Arabidopsis thaliana: one gene and its partners. The main gene of each other region encodes a partner of the protein of the gene in region 3 in a complex. Each region holds a gene or a part of one and is shown on either strand. Other genes may lie near its edges.

Evidence for each region. The genes of interacting proteins can lie anywhere in the genome.
Region 1: AT3G09670 (region 3) and AT5G40340 share a complex: the UniProt entries of both Arabidopsis thaliana proteins name them as parts of the PRC2 (polycomb repressive complex 2) complex.
Region 2: AT3G09670 (region 3) and NFC5 share a complex: the UniProt entries of both Arabidopsis thaliana proteins name them as parts of the PRC2 (polycomb repressive complex 2) complex.

What each region holds. Positions count from the first base shown.
Region 1 is NC_003076.8:16,130,895-16,136,957, reverse strand, and holds AT5G40340 (Tudor/PWWP/MBT superfamily protein), read left to right. Parts: upstream 1-1,564; 5' UTR 1,565-2,098; intron 2,099-2,265; 5' UTR 2,266-2,277; coding exon 2,278-5,304; 3' UTR 5,305-5,561; downstream 5,562-6,063. UniProt on the Arabidopsis thaliana protein: Together with PDP1, PDP2 and PDP6, interacts with MSI4/FVE and MSI5 to suppress FLC, MAF4 and MAF5 expression by regulating the function of the PRC2 complex and modulating H3K27me3 level, thereby promoting flowering.
Region 2 is NC_003075.7:14,558,425-14,564,574, reverse strand, and holds NFC5 (nucleosome/chromatin assembly factor group C5), read left to right. Parts: upstream 1-1,973; 5' UTR 1,974-2,052; coding exon 2,053-2,306; intron 2,307-2,798; coding exon 2,799-2,859; intron 2,860-2,968; coding exon 2,969-3,028; intron 3,029-3,126; coding exon 3,127-3,189; intron 3,190-3,306; coding exon 3,307-3,372; intron 3,373-3,489; coding exon 3,490-3,564; intron 3,565-3,685; coding exon 3,686-3,761; intron 3,762-3,833; coding exon 3,834-4,029; intron 4,030-4,154; coding exon 4,155-4,236; intron 4,237-4,326; coding exon 4,327-4,400; intron 4,401-4,488; coding exon 4,489-4,600; intron 4,601-4,707; coding exon 4,708-4,782; intron 4,783-4,864; coding exon 4,865-4,932; coding exon of another isoform or gene 4,933-5,023; coding exon 5,024-5,123; intron 5,124-5,218; coding exon 5,219-5,320; 3' UTR 5,321-5,648; downstream 5,649-6,150. Other genes in the region: AT4G29735 (uncharacterized protein), read left to right, coding at 298-300, 415-515, 1,137-1,202, 1,394-1,472, 1,566-1,613. UniProt on the Arabidopsis thaliana protein: Core histone-binding subunit that may target chromatin assembly factors, chromatin remodeling factors and histone deacetylases to their histone substrates in a manner that is regulated by nucleosomal DNA.
Region 3 is NC_003074.8:2,964,529-2,969,585, forward strand, and holds AT3G09670 (Tudor/PWWP/MBT superfamily protein), read left to right. Parts: upstream 1-1,672; 5' UTR 1,673-1,985; exon of another isoform or gene 1,986-1,992; intron 1,993-2,087; 5' UTR 2,088-2,108; coding exon 2,109-4,289; 3' UTR 4,290-4,530; downstream 4,531-5,057. Other genes in the region: MCM8 (minichromosome maintenance 8), read right to left, coding at 273-436, 531-753, 840-957, 1,031-1,174, 1,441-1,638; AT3G09680 (Ribosomal protein S12/S23 family protein), read right to left, coding at 4,669-4,809, 4,892-5,018. UniProt on the Arabidopsis thaliana protein: Together with PDP1, PDP3 and PDP6, interacts with MSI4/FVE and MSI5 to suppress FLC, MAF4 and MAF5 expression by regulating the function of the PRC2 complex and modulating H3K27me3 level, thereby promoting flowering.

The sequences.
Region 1 (6,063 bases), on a different chromosome or scaffold from region 3:
CTATTGCATCTATATATGTTTTTGCCTTTATTTCTAATCATGTAGATTAAGATCATTTTTATGATATGCGTATAAATATTGTAGAAAAGATTAAGGTGCACAATCTAGATTTGGATAGATAGAAAAAGTAGAGGCATTGGTTTAGCTATCATATGTTCTCATCACATCAAGAGACTTGGATCTTAATTAATCAATGTTTCCATATTTACTGATAAATAAAAAAGTTATAAAGTAGACAAACCGTTGATATAATTTTTCACGTCCAAAGAGAGTACGTAGATCACCTCATGACCAGGTTGCTTTATAGTGTTTAGATTGTATAGCATTCATATTCTGACTGAATCTCTAGAACATATGCTCAAATCATTTCGTTTGGAGTTTTGACCCATCCTCAAATCATATTATATATGCATTCTATGCAAGTACAAATATGAACCATTACATTTTGTTGAATTAGGTTGCATGTCTTTTTAGTTTTGCCCACATGTTTTTCGTGTGAGAATTGTGAATTCCCCATGTGAATCATAAATGAAAAGATAACATGGTGGGTCGTTCACAACTTACAATTCGGAATTATTTTAAACGTGTCTGAATTCCCTTGGCACTGTAATGATCCGTCTGTTACGTTGCCTTGGGCCTTGGGCTTTGGAGATGGACTAATATTTACACAAGTTGGGTTCAAGGTCATTGAGCTTTCTTTCAAACTATGATTAAGTAGTGGGAAATATATGATTCATATATCACTATTACTTGGTATTACAGTTCTAATACAGATTATACAGTTGATTCATATTGGTTCGCCGTCGATACTACATATAATCATGTCATGAGAACGTGTTGTTCGTGTAAAATTAACACAACAAGAAAATTACGTTTAGATGTATCAAATGTTATCCTAACAGATTTCACATGTTATATAGTCTCAACGAAAAAAATTAAAACATTTAAACTGGGTCAAAAGATGTATTTAAGCGATTTTCTTATATGGTGTAACATAAGTTGACCAAAAAGATTGAATATGAATTAGTGTGAAGATTGATTCAATGACTAAATCTAGTTTAATCATAAAATCTAAACATTTATCTTTTTTTAATAAAACTCAAACCGATAAATAATTTTGTTTTAGTAACAAATTAGATTTTATAAGTAAATTAATTTTTTTATTATTATTAAATGTCAAATTTTAATTGAATAAAATAAAAAAAGTGAATATAAGGGTTCAACTCAAATATTTTTCAATTCAATATATATAACCAAGATTTTCGTTACCACTCCACTTAAGTAATGCAGTGAATGAAAAAGAAAAAATAATCAGTGTCTAAAATCAAAATACCGTTGGTCAGTTGAATAATGAAAAAGAAAAGATCTTTGATTTTCCTTTTACTTGGTAGATTCCTACTCTTTAGGATTGAGGTTTTAATAAAAGACTTTAATCAACAAGCACTAAATTTAAGATACTGGTGTTGTGTAATAATAAGTTTGGGCCGAGCAAAAAAAGAAAAGGACTGGGCCGAGAAACGGCAAATATTTGTGTCGTTTCAAATACCAAATTCAAAATCTCCATTCTTTTATTACTCTGCTTATTAGCCGTCTAAGCATATTACAGCTGTCAATCATCGAAAGCATGTGACGCGTCTCTCTTATTTCATCCCACTCGCGTTCATATACACGTGTTATCTACTCTCTATCCGATTTCCGCCACGTAAGAATCTAGACACTGATGTTCTTATACACATAGCGAGTAAGCTGTATTTTACACTCTCGTAGCTAGTCAGTTTATTGTGATAGCGACACGGCTGATTTAGGGAAATAAATTAAAAACGTTGTCTTATTCCTGGGGCAAAAAAAAGCAGATAAGTAAGCAAAAAAAAAAACTCATTAATTACGAAAGTACCCTTAAATTTCTCCGAAAGGAAATTTTTGCGCCGCGTTTCATCTTCTCTCAAATCAAAATCCAGAGAGAAAAAAAAGAGAGGATTTTTCTCATGAGATTCTGAGAGTGTCTTTGTTCTTCTTACAAAGAAGTGTTTTTTCTTGAAGATTCTTCGGTCGCTGTTCGAAAAGTTGTTGTTTCGTTTCTCTCGGAGCTCAAAATCAGGTAAAAAATTTGTTACTTTATATTTTCGTTTTTCTAGGTTTTTCGTAAGAGTTAACCTAATTTCAAAATTTGTTTTTTTGGGAGATATTGTTGGGTTTGTGTGTAAATAGTTAGGTTGATTTTTTTTTCTGATTTGTTTGTCGTTTTGTGATTTTTTTTTTCTACAGTCGGGAAGAAAAATGGAAATTGAAGTTGTTTTGGGAATCGGAGAAGATGCGGGACCTAAGCCTTGTTCTGCAGAGATTGAATCAGCTGAGAAAACCCTAAAAGATGATGGTGTTGTTCAAGAGAACGGTGTTAGGGTTTCCGACAACGGTGAGAAAAAGTCTGATGTTGTTGTTGATGTTGACGAGAAAAATGAGAAGAATTTGAACGAATCTGGAGTTATTGAAGATTGTGTTATGAATGGAGTTTCTTCCTTGCTCAAATTGAAGGAAGATGTGGAAGAAGAAGAAGAAGAAGAAGAAGAAGAAGAAGAGGAAGAAGAAGATGGCGAAGATGAAGAAGAAGAAGAAGAAGAAGAAGAAGAAGAAGAAGAAGAAGAGCATGGATACTGTGTAGGAGATTTTGTGTGGGGAAAAATTAAGAATCATCCATGGTGGCCAGGTCAGATTTATGATCCATCAGATGCTTCAGATTTGGCTTTGAAGATAAAGCAAAAAGGGAAATTGCTTGTGGCGTGTTTCGGAGACGGGACATTTGCTTGGTGCGGTGCGTCGCAGTTGAAACCGTTTGCAGAGAGTTTCAAAGAGTGTTCGAAAGTGAGTAATTCGCGGAGTTTTCTAGGTGCAGTGGAAGAGGCGGTTGAAGAAATTGGTAGACATATTGAGCGTGTATTGGTATGTGATTGTGCTGAGGAGAAGAAGCATGAGTTTGATAGTCCTTTAGTTAACAATGCTGGGATTAAAGAAGGTGTTTTGGTGCGTGATGTGAGACGGGAAATGATTTCGTCGTTGTTGATTGGTAAACATGGAGAGATTCTTAAAGATGTTAAGAGTTTTGCAGAGACTGTTAGTTTTAGTGGCTTGCTTGAGCTGGAGATATTGAAAAGGAAGGTATCTGCGTTTTATCGGTCTAATAGAGGATATGGTTTGACTGAGTATCATGAACCTCAATCAGTTCCAGGACTTGAAGACAAGAACAATGATGATGATGATGATGATGAAGAAAAGAATGTTAATGATGGGTTACAATGGCGTGCTAAACGGTCTAGAGTAGAAGAAGTAGCAGCTTTGGATCATGAAGAGTCGTCGTCTCTTCAGAGATCGTTAGAGAAGTGTTCTGGTTTTCCTGATCATAGGCTTCCCCACAGAAGGAAGGAGAAAAGCATTACTGAAATAATTGAGAAGGAGTCAGCTGCTAAGGTTAGGTTTGAGACAGAACCTGCGGATGGAGATGTAAAGTCAAATGTTAAGTCGGGTAGGAAGAAAACAAAACGCCATGATGAAGTTAATGGTGATCTTGAAAATGTAACTACTACTGCACTGTGGAGGAGAAGAAAGAGTGAAGTAGCTACAATTGAAGACGGTGGTAACAAGCAAGTGGTAGAAAGTAGCAAAGGCAAAACTTCGAGGAAGAAGAAGAAAATGGATGTGGATGATGGCGATGATGATGGGAGTGGAGACAAAGAAGAGTCTGAGGAAAAAGAGATTTCAGATCTGGAAATAAATATCGATTCAACTTCATTAGCTTCGCTGCGGAAAAAGGTAAGGTTTGATGATTCAGTCGTTGAAAGGAGTACTGAAAATGGCGAGACCGCTACACAAACATCAAAGAGAGAGAGGAAGAAGAGCAAGTATCTCTCGCCTGATTTCTTGTCAGATTTTTCACGGAAAGGAAGAAAAAAGAGTACAATCGAATCTGAATCTTCGAAAGTTTCAAGTCAGAGCCAAGTAGACGAGCGAGTGACTGATGCTAGTGATAGCCTCATGGAAGTGGAAGAAGATACGTTGGATAAACCTTGTGAACCATCATCTGATAATGGATTAGGTCAAGAAGAACTGTCTAGGGAACTTAGTAATGCCGTCGACTTTCTGAGGTTGGGAGCTACACCAAAGGAAATGCAGGATCTAATTCGTGTAGCTGCTCTTGGCACACAATATCCAAAAGACAGTAGCTCAAGAGACATGGTAAGAGAATTCATGACCATCTATAGAAGCTTCACATATCATGATGGAGCCAATCACAAGTTCTTAGGGAGCTATGATAGTTCGGATAAAGAAAAGGAAGAACTGAGTGAGATGGGTAAGCCTGTAACTAAGGGGAAAGAGAAGAAAGATAAGAAGGGTAAAGCAAAGCAGAAAGCAGAGGAGATAGAGGTAACTGGTAAAGAAGAGAATGAGACAGACAAGCATGGGAAAATGAAGAAAGAGCGAAAACGTAAGAAGTCTGAATCAAAGAAGGAAGGGGGTGAAGGAGAAGAAACCCAGAAAGAGGCTAATGAGTCAACAAAGAAAGAGAGAAAACGTAAGAAGTCTGAATCAAAGAAGCAATCAGATGGAGAAGAAGAAACTCAGAAAGAGCCAAGTGAGTCAACTAAAAAAGAGAGAAAACGTAAGAATCCTGAATCAAAGAAGAAGGCAGAAGCAGTTGAAGAAGAAGAAACCCGGAAAGAGTCTGTTGAATCAACCAAGAAAGAGAGAAAACGGAAGAAGCCTAAACACGACGAAGAAGAAGTCCCGAATGAGACTGAGAAACCCGAGAAGAAGAAGAAAAAGAAGAGAGAGGGAAAGTCTAAAAAGAAAGAAACTGAGACGGAATTTTCAGGAGCTGAGCTATATGTTACATTTGGTCCTGGTTCAAGTTTGCCTAAAAAGGAAGATCTGATTGAAATATATGAAAAATTTGGAGCTTTGGACAAAGAGAGAACTGATACGGTCGACAACAACTTCTCTGCCCATGTGGCTTTCTTGGATGTAGCTGATGGAGAAAAAGCCTTTGAATCCTCACTAGAGAAATGTCCGTTTACTTCTAATTCGACGGTGAAATTCAGACTCAAGTATCCAAATGAGAGAACAGAGGAGAAGAAAACTGAAGCTGAAGTTGCAGAGACGACAATGGAGGTGGAATATCTGAAGAAAAAGCTGGATGAGATGAAATTGTTACTTGATGGATGCGAAGGAGGAATGACTGAAGAAGTGAAAGTGAAACTTGAAGGTGAGATGGTAAATTTGTTGGAGAAAGTGATAGAGATGAGATCTTCTTAGGATTATGATTTTATGTTTTTATTTTGTTGGTTGAGAACTTTCAGGACAGGTTTTAGGATATTTATGGTTTCTGCAAAACATAACAAAAGTATTTTGAGAGGTTAATGTCTTGGTGATACTATGATCTTGTCGTAGGGTAGACAGAATTAGATCGATGTTCTATGTTTTTGTGTAGACTTTTTTAAAGTTTACCAACTTTGATACTAAACCCATTAGTGGGCTTTTGGTTTATCACTCTCTTGAAAGCCCACTAATTTTATTATATTACAAACAAAATTTTCAAAATCCTTTCGACGAGTATTGAATGTTTGATGAAGCCATACAAAGAGGGAGGTTGGAGATTTTTATTAGAAAGGGAGTCTCGTCGAGACTGAATCATTTACGTAATGCTAATTAGTGATCCAACAACATAAATGTTCTAAGACAATGAACAAATTCAACCATTTGATTGATCACAAAAAATGTATCCAGATAATGTATAAGAGTTAATTAAGATATTTGGCCAATTTCAAATTCAATTATCAAATTCAGAACATTAGGCTTAATCATGTTTGCTTGTTCATGTTTGCTTGTTCGTTTTTGCGTTAGTTCTCGGAGAAGCTGTAGACTTCTATCTTTGAGGTTTTGTGGACGGACCTTGAATAATCATGCTCGTGGCAACTAGGATGAGGATTCCAATACTTCGGTACTGCGGCAACAACGCAAATTTCCGAGCTTCGCGGACTCGGAATCGGTGTTTCTCCTCCTAACTTGGCCTTG
Region 2 (6,150 bases), on a different chromosome or scaffold from region 3:
AAATGGTAAAGGATCACATTGCACTTTGAATAAAGTTATACAACGTTAAAAGAAGATAAAGATATGAACACATTTTATATCAAAGGCCTTAATAAGTATATTTGGGCCTATTAAATCGAACCTTTAAACAGAAAAACTGGCCCATAAAATAACCGTGGTTGTGTTATAACAAGCCGGTTAAGTACAAACCGGAAGCGACTCGTGTTTGTTTAGTGAAGCGATCAAGCGAGCGAGATCAGTCAAATAGCTTTTTCATTGTTCCTCAGATCGAAGAAGAAGAAGAAGAGCTTAGCAACAATGGTAAATCTAGATCCGTCCAAGTGCTTTCAGTCACAGCTAATTTGATCTCTCTATTTGTTGCTTTTACGATTTCTGATTTTGTTTGGTGTGTTTGTGCTCGTTCCCGGTGAGAAGGCGGCGAAACCGATTGCGAGTCCGATTCCGGTGGCGCTGTATCCGACTTTATCGGTGTTCACTCTTGCGATTGGTCTCGTCATTACCGCTATCTTCTTCATGTAAGCTAATAATTGATCTGATCTCTAGATCTTCGAAATTGCCCCTTCTTGTTCTCAATTTATATTACTTGATGTCAGATTAGTGAAACAGTTCCTGATAGATTCGATCTACCTATGATTTATCTTGATTTTCATAAAGCTTGATTAGTGTGTGATAGTCATGACTAGGTTCTGAACTATGAATCGTGTGAGGCTCTCCTCTTGTTTGTTCACTGTGTATGAAGCTTGACCAACATTGTTACTGCTTATATATATGGTTTGGTCACAATGCTTTCTCAATTGCTATTCTCTAGAGATAGGTCTTCTAAAGCTCCTGAAGCTACATGTTCATCACTTTCATGATCTCTTTGCTAGATTAATCTGTTGAAATATGTGCCTTTCTTATTACTAAAGTTTCTGGGTAAAAAGTAAGAAAGTCATGGGACTCATCTAGTAACCTTTTGGAAATGTGTGAGCTCTATATACTATCATGATATAAAGACTCAAAATTTATCAATGATAAGGTGATAGTCTATGGAAATGGAATCAGTACTCTAATAGTTTCACTGAATATGACAAAATGACTGATTATCGATTTAGTTAAGATACAAGAAAGTTAGATTTGTATGATTTTCATTTAAGCGTGGAGCATTTACCTTTCAAAGGGTGGCAAGTTTTAGGAGATATGATTCGGTTTGTTAAAGTAATGTGCGTCTGGGCTACGAGAGCATGTGGGTTAGCCTCGAGTCAAAACTTTAAGATAGACTTGAACCATTCATTTTAGCTTCTTTGTAATAAGGTCATATTGGACTCTTTTGGTATTCATTGTGCTGGTTTAGATTCATTCAGCCCAACAAGGAGTGATCAAAACTTACCCTGTCATAACATTTGTGTTGCAGCTATGAAGCTACATCATCCAGGAAAAACCGAAGCGTCGGAAAGGAGCTCGCTACTTCAGCAGTTGCATCTGTCTTCTTGGTATGGATTTTCTTCTTCACCCTCTTGACTTAAGTTTAAGAGTTTTCTTTAAATCTAATGTTTGGTTAAAATCTGTTTCTGTGTTATTTGCAGGGTTTTGGATCGTTGTTTTTGCTACTTGCTAGTGGTGTTTATGTCTGATCCTTCTTCCTCAATACTATTCCCAACTAGTTCAAAGACAAAAAAAACAGATTTATCTTTGTTCAAGTAAAATCAGAGTTATGAATGTTAAGACTTGAGAAGTAGCCTTTAAACACCAAGTTACAATTAAATTATCTTCTTCTTTTGAACGCTAAACCGAGTTTTGGTTTCAATTTTCACCGCCTTTAGAACAGCGTTTGCGTTGTTAAGTTGATCAGTTAGTAACTTTCTACCAAGATTTAGAAGAAAGCTTTACTCAAATTTTGTAATGGGAAGATACTGATTATACTCTTTAGTGTGAAGAAATCATTTTAATTCGCTAATTTAAGTATTTGCCTATTGGGTATTTGCCGGGACGAAGTTTACTCCACGTGGCATAAATAATAATATTATAAAAAAAACAAAGGAGAGTAGAGAGAAAACGAGAGAAAAGAAGGAAATGGAAAGCGAAGCAGCAGCGACTGTTCAAGCCACCAGGCCGAGAAGAGCACCTAGGACTCCGGTGACAGCCATTTTGACGGATAAGAGAAGACGGAAACCTAAGAGCAACAACGAGTCTCAGTTACCATTTTTGCTACAGCAGAGTCAAAAGGCCACCGTTGACGACACTTACTCTCAGTGGAAGACTCTTCTTCCCATTCTCTATGATTCGTTTGTTAATCATACCCTCGTCTGGCCCTCTCTCTCTTGCAGGTCTGTGTTTTTTTTTATAGGTTTTCTGTTTCTAGGGTTTTCGATCTTTGGTTTTGGAGAAAGTTGGTTCTTTTTTGGGAAATAAAAATTCTAGCTTTGTGCTTTTGGTCAGGCGATTGAGTTACATTTCCGTTTCAGCTAGTGAAATACTCATAGATTGAGAGTTTTTCTTAGCTGGTTTCTGGAATTTGTGAGATTAGGACATGTTCTAGTTCGGGTTTTTAATTTAGCTCAGTCTCCATGCTTTTCTGTGTTTCTTTCTCTTTTAGGCTTTTAGCTCATTAGCTATCTGATGTTTCCATTTTTGAACCTCTGGAACTTGTTTTGGTAGGAAAATGATGTCGTTGATAACACTTGACCAACTCGGTTTAGGTGTTCTGTTTTGTTACTTTTTGGTTTCAGATGTTTAGCTGTGCTACGATTTAGTGAAGTGTTTAGCTTTTGTGTAAAGAGGTACGATTTCGTTGTAATCCTGTTGTTTGATTTGAGCAGATGGGGGCCACAGCTTGAGCAAGCAGGTTCTAAGACTCAACGTCTCTATCTCTCGGAACAAGTGAGTTTGCTCTTGTTCTTGTGGTTTGTACATTTTTTCTTGATGAAAAATATCCAAAGTTTGTTTACTGCTCCTTATGTTTACCGTTTTTTCTTGGTTCTGTCATTAGACGAATGGCAGTGTGCCTAATACTTTGGTCATAGCCAATTGCGAAACTGTTAATAGGCAGGTAATTAGTTTTTCTCTACCAAAGCTTGTGCTTTTGTCCTTGTGTTACTCTCTGCTGAGATGAAATTATTGAAATACCGTTTCTTTATATGCTTTCAGCTTAATGAAAAGGCACACTCTCCATTTGTGAAGAAGTACAAGACCATCATCCACCCTGGAGAGGTGTGATATTCCTGTATTCTCATTGTTTTTTCTTAGATGGATTTACTGAATCTGCATTTCGTTTAGGACTTGAGTGCTGAAAAAGATTTTGTTTTGTGTACCCTTCATTCATCGCAGGTCAACAGAATTAGGGAACTCCCTCAAAATAGCAAGATTGTAGCTACTCACACCGACAGTCCTGATGTAAGTTCTGCTTTCTCGGGTCATCAGCGTGACAAAAAAAAGGCTTTCGTTATTCAGTATCCTTGTTTTTGAATAGTTCCAGTTTCAGTCATGCAAGTATGATATATTGGTTTTCAGATTCTCATTTGGAACACTGAGACTCAACCAGACCGGTATGCTGTGCTTGGAGCTCCAGATTCTCGTCCAGATTTGGTATGCTCTTGTGAGAATTTTCGTTATGTTGTCTCACTGAGTTAAACAACCTGCTTGTGCATCATATTAACAATCGAAAGAGCTACTCTTTTTGCATCATTTGAACAACTTTTATTTTCAGTTACTAATTGGGCACCAGGATGATGCTGAATTTGCTCTTGCAATGTGCCCAACCGAACCTTTTGTTCTCTCTGGAGGTTTGTATCAGTTCTATTTTTGTGTCATATCTTGTGGTTTGCAAGTTTCTCATCAAAGATTCTTCCGTGCAGGCAAGGACAAGTCCGTTATTTTGTGGAATATCCAAGACCATATCACAATGGCTGGTTCGGATTCCAAATCCCCTGGATCCAGCTTCAAGCAGACTGGTGAAGGTAGTGATAAAACTGGTGGTCCTTCTGTTGGCCCTCGAGGCATATATAATGGCCACAAAGATACTGTTGAAGACGTGGCATTCTGTCCATCTAGGTAACTTCTTGGGACAGTCTCCTTTTTTAATAAGCTCTTAAGTTTACACCCAAATGCAGACCTACTCAGAATTTTCTGATGCTTTTGGTATAAAAAAATTGGTAATTTTTTGTTTTGTCCTACAGTGCACAAGAATTCTGCAGTGTTGGTGACGATTCTTGCCTTATGCTATGGGACGCAAGAACTGGCACTAGTCCTGCCATGAAGGTACCTCTTTTTTTTAGCCAGATCGACATTTGAGGTTTAACTTTTTGGTCTTGTTTCAGATTCCGTCTGTTTCTTCTTGTGCGCTGGCAGGTTGAGAAGGCACATGATGCTGATCTTCACTGTGTCGATTGGAATCCTCATGACAATAATCTGATCCTGACTGGGTACTGATTTCACAAACTTAAATACTTGTCCAAAAGTACAGAGATGCTACTCGTCCTCTCACTCTACGCTTCTACATCACTTTTCCAGGTCAGCAGATAACACTGTCCGTGTGTTTGACCGCCGAAACCTTACCTCAAATGGAGTTGGTTCACCTGTTTACAAATTTGAAGGCCACAGAGCTGCTGTTCTTTGTGTTCAGGTTTCAACAACATGCCACCACCTCTGTTTTTTTTTTTTGTTTTTTTCTTTTCATATTATTTGTCCTGTAAACCTATCCCCAATGACATTGCTTCGTTATCAATTCAGTGGTCTCCTGATAAATCATCTGTTTTTGGGAGTTCTGCAGAAGATGGTCTCTTGAACATATGGGATTGTGATAGGGTTAGTACAATTTCTCACATTCACATTTAAAACTATTCTCTTACTTTCAAGCTCACCATATTAACATATATGTGTGCACCAGGTTGGCAAGAAGTCTGAGCGTGCAACCAAAACTCCTGATGGGCTTTTCTTCCAGCATGCTGGTCACAGGTTCTCAAGACTTAATTCTAATTCACTTGCTTGCCTTTCCCTTTTACTCTCTTCAGTGGAATCTATAATTTCCTCGTGTATATCTTCTTAGGGACAAAGTGGTCGACTTCCACTGGAGCCTATTGAACCCTTGGACTATTGTCAGTGTTTCTGATAATTGTGAGAGTATCGGTGGAGGTGGTACATTGCAGGTACTTTTAAATGTCTTGCTACATTTACTCTGGAACCTACCTATGATTAACTTTCTCGGTAAAAATGAAAACTTTTGATTTGTAAATTAATGCAGATATGGCGGATGAGTGACTTGATTTACAGACCGGAAGATGAAGTCCTGACAGAGCTAGAGAAATTCAAGTCACATGTTTTCACATGTACCTCCAAGTCTTGAGGAAGCAATCCCATCATGTCTATTAGTATTAGTAAGTTGCTGGGGTTTAGTGTCAGTTTTTGCGAGGAAAATCAGTTTACTTATGCGATTTAGGTGTTATTTTTGCGGAATATTACTTGGTTTATGTAGGCCAGTAATTCAACATATTGGTAGATTTAGGACTTCCGGAATCTTGTATGGTACTTGATCCTGTTTCTTCAGGTTAATCCTAGGCACCTAACTTGCTTGTATTTTCAACTTTTTTTTTTGTGAATCCAAACTTGGTTAAGCAAGACCAAACTAAAACAACAGATTGAATCAGTGAAATCCAAATCTCAAGTGCTTGACATTTGACTCATGTGTCCCTGAACCGTTCAGTTCTACTTCCAACAACAAAAGCAGATAGAAAATCGTCGCTCTTCACCTCTATTCGGTTTCATTTCAAGCAAGATTGGTTCTGCGTAAACCGGGTTGAACCGGATCAACTCATTAGATCTACAAAGGATTTGTGCAATCTTAAGACCTGACATCTATACAAACTTGCAGACAATTGAACTTAATACTCTTGGGATTGTGGGGTGAGGGAGTTAGGTAGCAACATTTGAGGAAATTTATTGCATAATATCTTCTAGTAGATTCTCTCTCTCTCTCTCTCTCTCTCTCTCTCTCTCTCTCTCTCTCTCTCTCTCTCTCTAGTTAAAAACATCTAGGTACTAAGCCTTTCATGGGGTTTTGATTTATCTGACATTAAGTACACTACTCATTTATAGATATAAGACCATCTCATAGGGGCTTCTCTAGGTTTTGTTGGATTCTCATCATTGATTCATTGCAGCTATAACCAAACAAAA
Region 3 (5,057 bases):
GTTAAGCTTGAGTATGGCTTAATACCAGTAATGAGGCTTCTAGCTCCTTGATCTTTGGTAAAATGTCAATATGAGTAAAACAAACAACTTAGCAGTGCTCTATTTTACTTTCCTGCAATGAGATTCCCAAAAACCATGGAAGAGAACTTTAAGAGACAAATTTCCAGCTATTCTACGGGTAAGGATAGCAGGCGTTTGGGCATGTTAATGTTTGCAAATTATGGACACAACAAGGATGGAGAGAACTCCATGAAAAGTTATAAAATCAATACCTCCCCCAATGTCCATGTAATTATTAATTACTCCTATAATCCCTGTAACTGTCACCACATCACCAGGGATACATATGTCCACAAGGTCTTCCATCAGCTCACATTCTACAGTTCTGGGTACCCGTCCTTCTTCGTGGTCTTCAGGCTTTTGCAATTCCTGTACCCTAAAATGCATTTGGACAGCTGGTTAACAATGGTCAGATACATAACTAACAAGGATGAAGTACACAAAATGATGAGACGCAAATAGGAGAACACCTGATTTTCTGAAAATCAATTGTCTGAGCAGAGGACCGGATTGGAGTAAACGTTTTGGACTTGCATCCATGGGAATCACATTTTAGTGGAGGAGAAAACTTTCCATCAGTAAATTCCCGGGTTATGCCAGTTTTGCACTTTCCACAGTCAAAAGCCATCTGTGTGACAAGGGGTTTCACAGTACTAACTTTAACAACAGTCCCATGAACGGTTACAAGCTTTCCTGCAATTTCAAAAGCACACACTCATGCTATGTCTCACTTAAGGTTTTACATCTTATTATTTATTTCGCTAGATGAGACAGTCTACCAATATAAGCTGCTCTCAGGTTTTTCAGGGAGATAGAAGATTCAGGATAATTATGCAGACGAACATTGATCTTCATAACATTCTCAAACTCATTAGTCTCCCATTGATCAAAAAGAACCTGTGAGAGATGACATAAGTCTTCATCTTATGCCAACCAAGAAAACAAACCCCAATGAAAAGTAATAGCATACCTTGTGAACAGCAGCATTCATACATGGGATAACTCCTTTAGGATTATCCTCTAGATTTATGAAAAAGTTCTCGATATCAGATATTTTCTTGAATTGTTGGAGATCAAGAGACAAAGAGAAGGAACCACCACCGTCTTCATTCACCTGGCTCAAGCCATGGAATAAACTTATAAACTGTTTCTCCTATTTTTAGATACTAAGAAGAACTAATTGACGCATAGAGAAGTTGATTAATCGTTTTCTATCTACCCTAATTCTTCATAGAAGTAGAGTGGAAACGAAATCTAGCTAAATAGATTACAATTTCATAACCGGAATTTAATTTCGAAATCAAGCTATACCAAGCTTTATAAAATTCAGATTTATAAACTTTTTACCAGAAATTTGATGATGGCCAAGTGAGGATGTACCTGAGAAACTATGTCTCTACCAGGTGATGCGGAGAATACGCGGATGAGCTCCGCCGTGAGCTGCAACTTATCCTCGTCGATGGCCAAATTCTCGTTGTCCTTGATGTATACAGCTAATATTTTCCCGATGCCGAGAGAATCAATTCCTGTTGATTCAGGGCGACCCGATGCCATGCTTCCACCACCGTAAAATCCCATCACCGCTTAACCCACTGTAACTCGCTCGTCGTCAGTCGCAGAGAAAAATCTCGCTTAGGCCAATGGGTTTTGGCGGGAAAAAGGTAAAGGGCTTTTTGTGATGGGTTTTTGGTAAGTGGGCCAAATGATTGAACCCTAAAACCCAAAGATAACCAAAAGAAAGGATAAAATCAATTAATAAAGCTTTAGTTGTCCGCCACGTGGACTGAACCGCACAAAAATTCACAACAACAAAAAAAAAACGAGAAACCCGTTTCTGGTTCGATTTGACGTCTTCGTTTACTTCATTTCTATAAACGAGCTCCCGCCGCCGGAAAATTCGCTGTTCATCACCACCGTGACCAGAGGTTTGTTGTGAGCACCTTCTCTATCTTTCTTTCTTCACCTGTAGGTTCTGTTATATGTTTTGTTGGGAAATGAACTGAAGAAAATTTCTGATGATTTTCTAGGGTTTTGTTTTGGTACTGCTTATGTCGACGGAATCAGAACGTATTGAATCAGTCTCAGAGGCTAATGCGTCGAGTTTAGAGGTCGGAAATGATCAAATGTCTGAAGCCCTAGCTGGTCAAGCTCAGGAGCTGAAAACAATTGGAGATGATAAAGAAGGATGCGGCAACTTTGCTTCAGCTGGTGATAATGGGATGGAGAAAGTAAATGGATTTACTAATCTTGTTAAGGAAACGGAATCTGTAAATGGAGAGTTAGATCTAGGCACTAGAACCGAAAATGTAGGTGGAGAGAGTAACCAAAGTGACAAGAAGGTTCTAGTAGATAGCGAAGAGGTCATGATGGTAGAGAAAAGGGGGCTTCTTGTTGAGAAGGAAGTGGAACCTGACATGGTCTGTTCTCATGGCGCTGATCTCAGTGATGTGAAGGTTTCTGATGGCAGACTGGATAGTGAAGACCTTGTTCAGGATAGAAAACCCGATGGCTTAGAAAAGCAAGGAACAAAAGTTGAGGACTTGGATGTTGTATGTTTTATGGGTTTAGAACCGCATGAGAGCAAGGATGAGAGTATTTTGGATGATGAAATTGCCCATGTAGCTGCGAAGGTGAAGATCTCTGACTCAGATTTGGTTTGGGCTAAAGTAAGGAGCCATCCGTGGTGGCCTGGACAGGTGTTTGATGCCTCGGCTGCAACAGACAAGGCGAAGAAGCATTTCAAGAAAGGAAGTTTCTTAGTAACTTATTTTGGAGATTGCACCTTTGCTTGGAATGAGGCGTCACGGATTAAGCCTTTTCGACAGCATTTCTCCCAAATGGCAAAGCAGAGTAGTCTACCTGATTTTATTGATGCTATTGATTTTGCGTTAGAAGAGGTATCAAGAAGGATAGAGTTTGGTTTAGCTTGTTCTTGTATCTCAGAGGAAGTCTATCAGAAGATCAAGACTCAGAATGTAATCAATCCTGGAATCCGAGAAGATTCAAGCTCAATACACGGTGGAGACAAGGTCTCAAGTGCAGTCTTCTTTGAACCTGCAAACCTTGTGGGATATGTGAAGCGTTTAGCATGCTCTCCTAGCTATGATGCTACTGATGCGCTGCAGCTTGTAAGTCAGAGAGCACAGTTATTAGCTTTTAATCGCTGGAAAGGCTATACTGACCTCCCCGAGTTTATGACACTCCAGGGGTCAGTAGAGTCTGCACCCAAGATTTCTCCTGCAGAAGAGCAAAGTAGCTTAGTGGAAGTTTCTGATCCTGAACCAACAAAGAGTAAACAAGTTTATACTAAAAGAAGAAAGACAAACCTGCAAACAGAGCAAAGTAGCTTAGTTGAAGTTTCTGATCCTGATAAAGGTGACTGTAAACACGATGGAGTGTTTGAATATGAAGAAACTATTGTTCCAAAGAAAAAGGAGAAAACTTTGGCAGAGTTCATTGCTGAGAAACGCGTAAGCAGACATAATGGGAACACATCACATGAAAAGTCTGGTAATGTTCCGCATTGCGAAAAGAAACGCAAGGTTGTGCAGTCAAAAGTTCCCAAGTCCACGAAAAAGATTAAGGCAAACCTGCAAACAGAGGATCCAGGATCTCCAGTTTCTCCCAAAAATGATCGAAAAAATAATTTGTCTGCTGGTGATAAGATTACACCACAGAAAGCTAGAAAAAGTTTCGGAATTGGGGCAAGCATATTGAAAGTGGCAAACCAGATGCATTGTTCAACACCAACCAGACTCTTACCTTGCAGTGATTCGACCTCCAAAAAGGCAGCCAAGAGCAATGGCAGTGGAAAGAGTCTTCAGGAGAAACCTAAAGCCGAAGCATTATCAGCAAGAGAAATTTCTCCTTCAACTACACTTTCAAGCCCTCACGCTGCTTCTGTTACCAAAACCACAAGTGGGAAATCCAATTCTGTCAGCCTAGACCACAACCTATCCGGAGAACTTGATCAGGTCAGAAAGGAAGCTCCTAGTACTAACCTTGTGGAGGACCCGATGTTGGAGTCTAGAGACTTGAAAGACTCTTCTAAGGAGCAGGTCGTACATGAGGATAAGAAAGAAGCTGCAAATGTAGCGGATGAGAAATCTATTATGGACAGCAATCTAACCGGGGAGAAAATCAGTGGCTTGGACTTGAGAGAGCAGCCGAGTAACAAGAACTGCTCTGGTGGATCTGATAGTTGCAAGGAAGATGTTTCTGCAGAGTAGGAAGGCTCAGCATCAGCGTCTAACCCACTAATACAGATCTTTCTAAAATCGAGTCCGGTTCTTGTTAGTACCCAAGAGTGGAATATACCTTTTAGATGGATTCTCTTCTCTTTCAAAGTTTAGAATTGTATGATTTAATCAGAGTTGAACAAACACTAGTGAGAGAATGTAACAAAGTTATTTTTGTTTTTCCAGATTTGTGCAATTTAATGGTCAATAATTCATTTGAATCCAAAACTAATTATGAATTTGAATAAATAAATTAGAATCCAAACAAAATTAACCTCAACTCGGAGGAAAATAGAATAAGAGATGTCACTGAATAAGTACATAGACATGCCTTCAAATATCAAAAAAAATTCATAAAATGTAGTAGAGCTCAAGACCTAGGCTTCTCCTTCTTTTCCTTGAAAAGGGCCAAGAGTGAGACACCAGAGACCTTCACCACTTTGAACCTAACTCCGGGAATATCTCCGACGGCATGACCTTTACGCCCAAATCCAGCAATCAACACCTCGTCCTACACACAGTATCAATGAATGAGTAATTGGTAAGAATATAATTTGATTACTCATTCAAAAGTAGATGTCAATCTAACTTACATTTTCTTCAATGTAGTTCAAACAACCATCATTGGGGACAAAGGCAGCAATCTTTTTACCATTCTTGATCAACTGAACTCTAGCACACTTACGGATAGCAGAGTTAGGCTGCTTAGCCTCAATACCACTGCATAATCAAACACAGAGTCTCATCAAAGTCAAGATC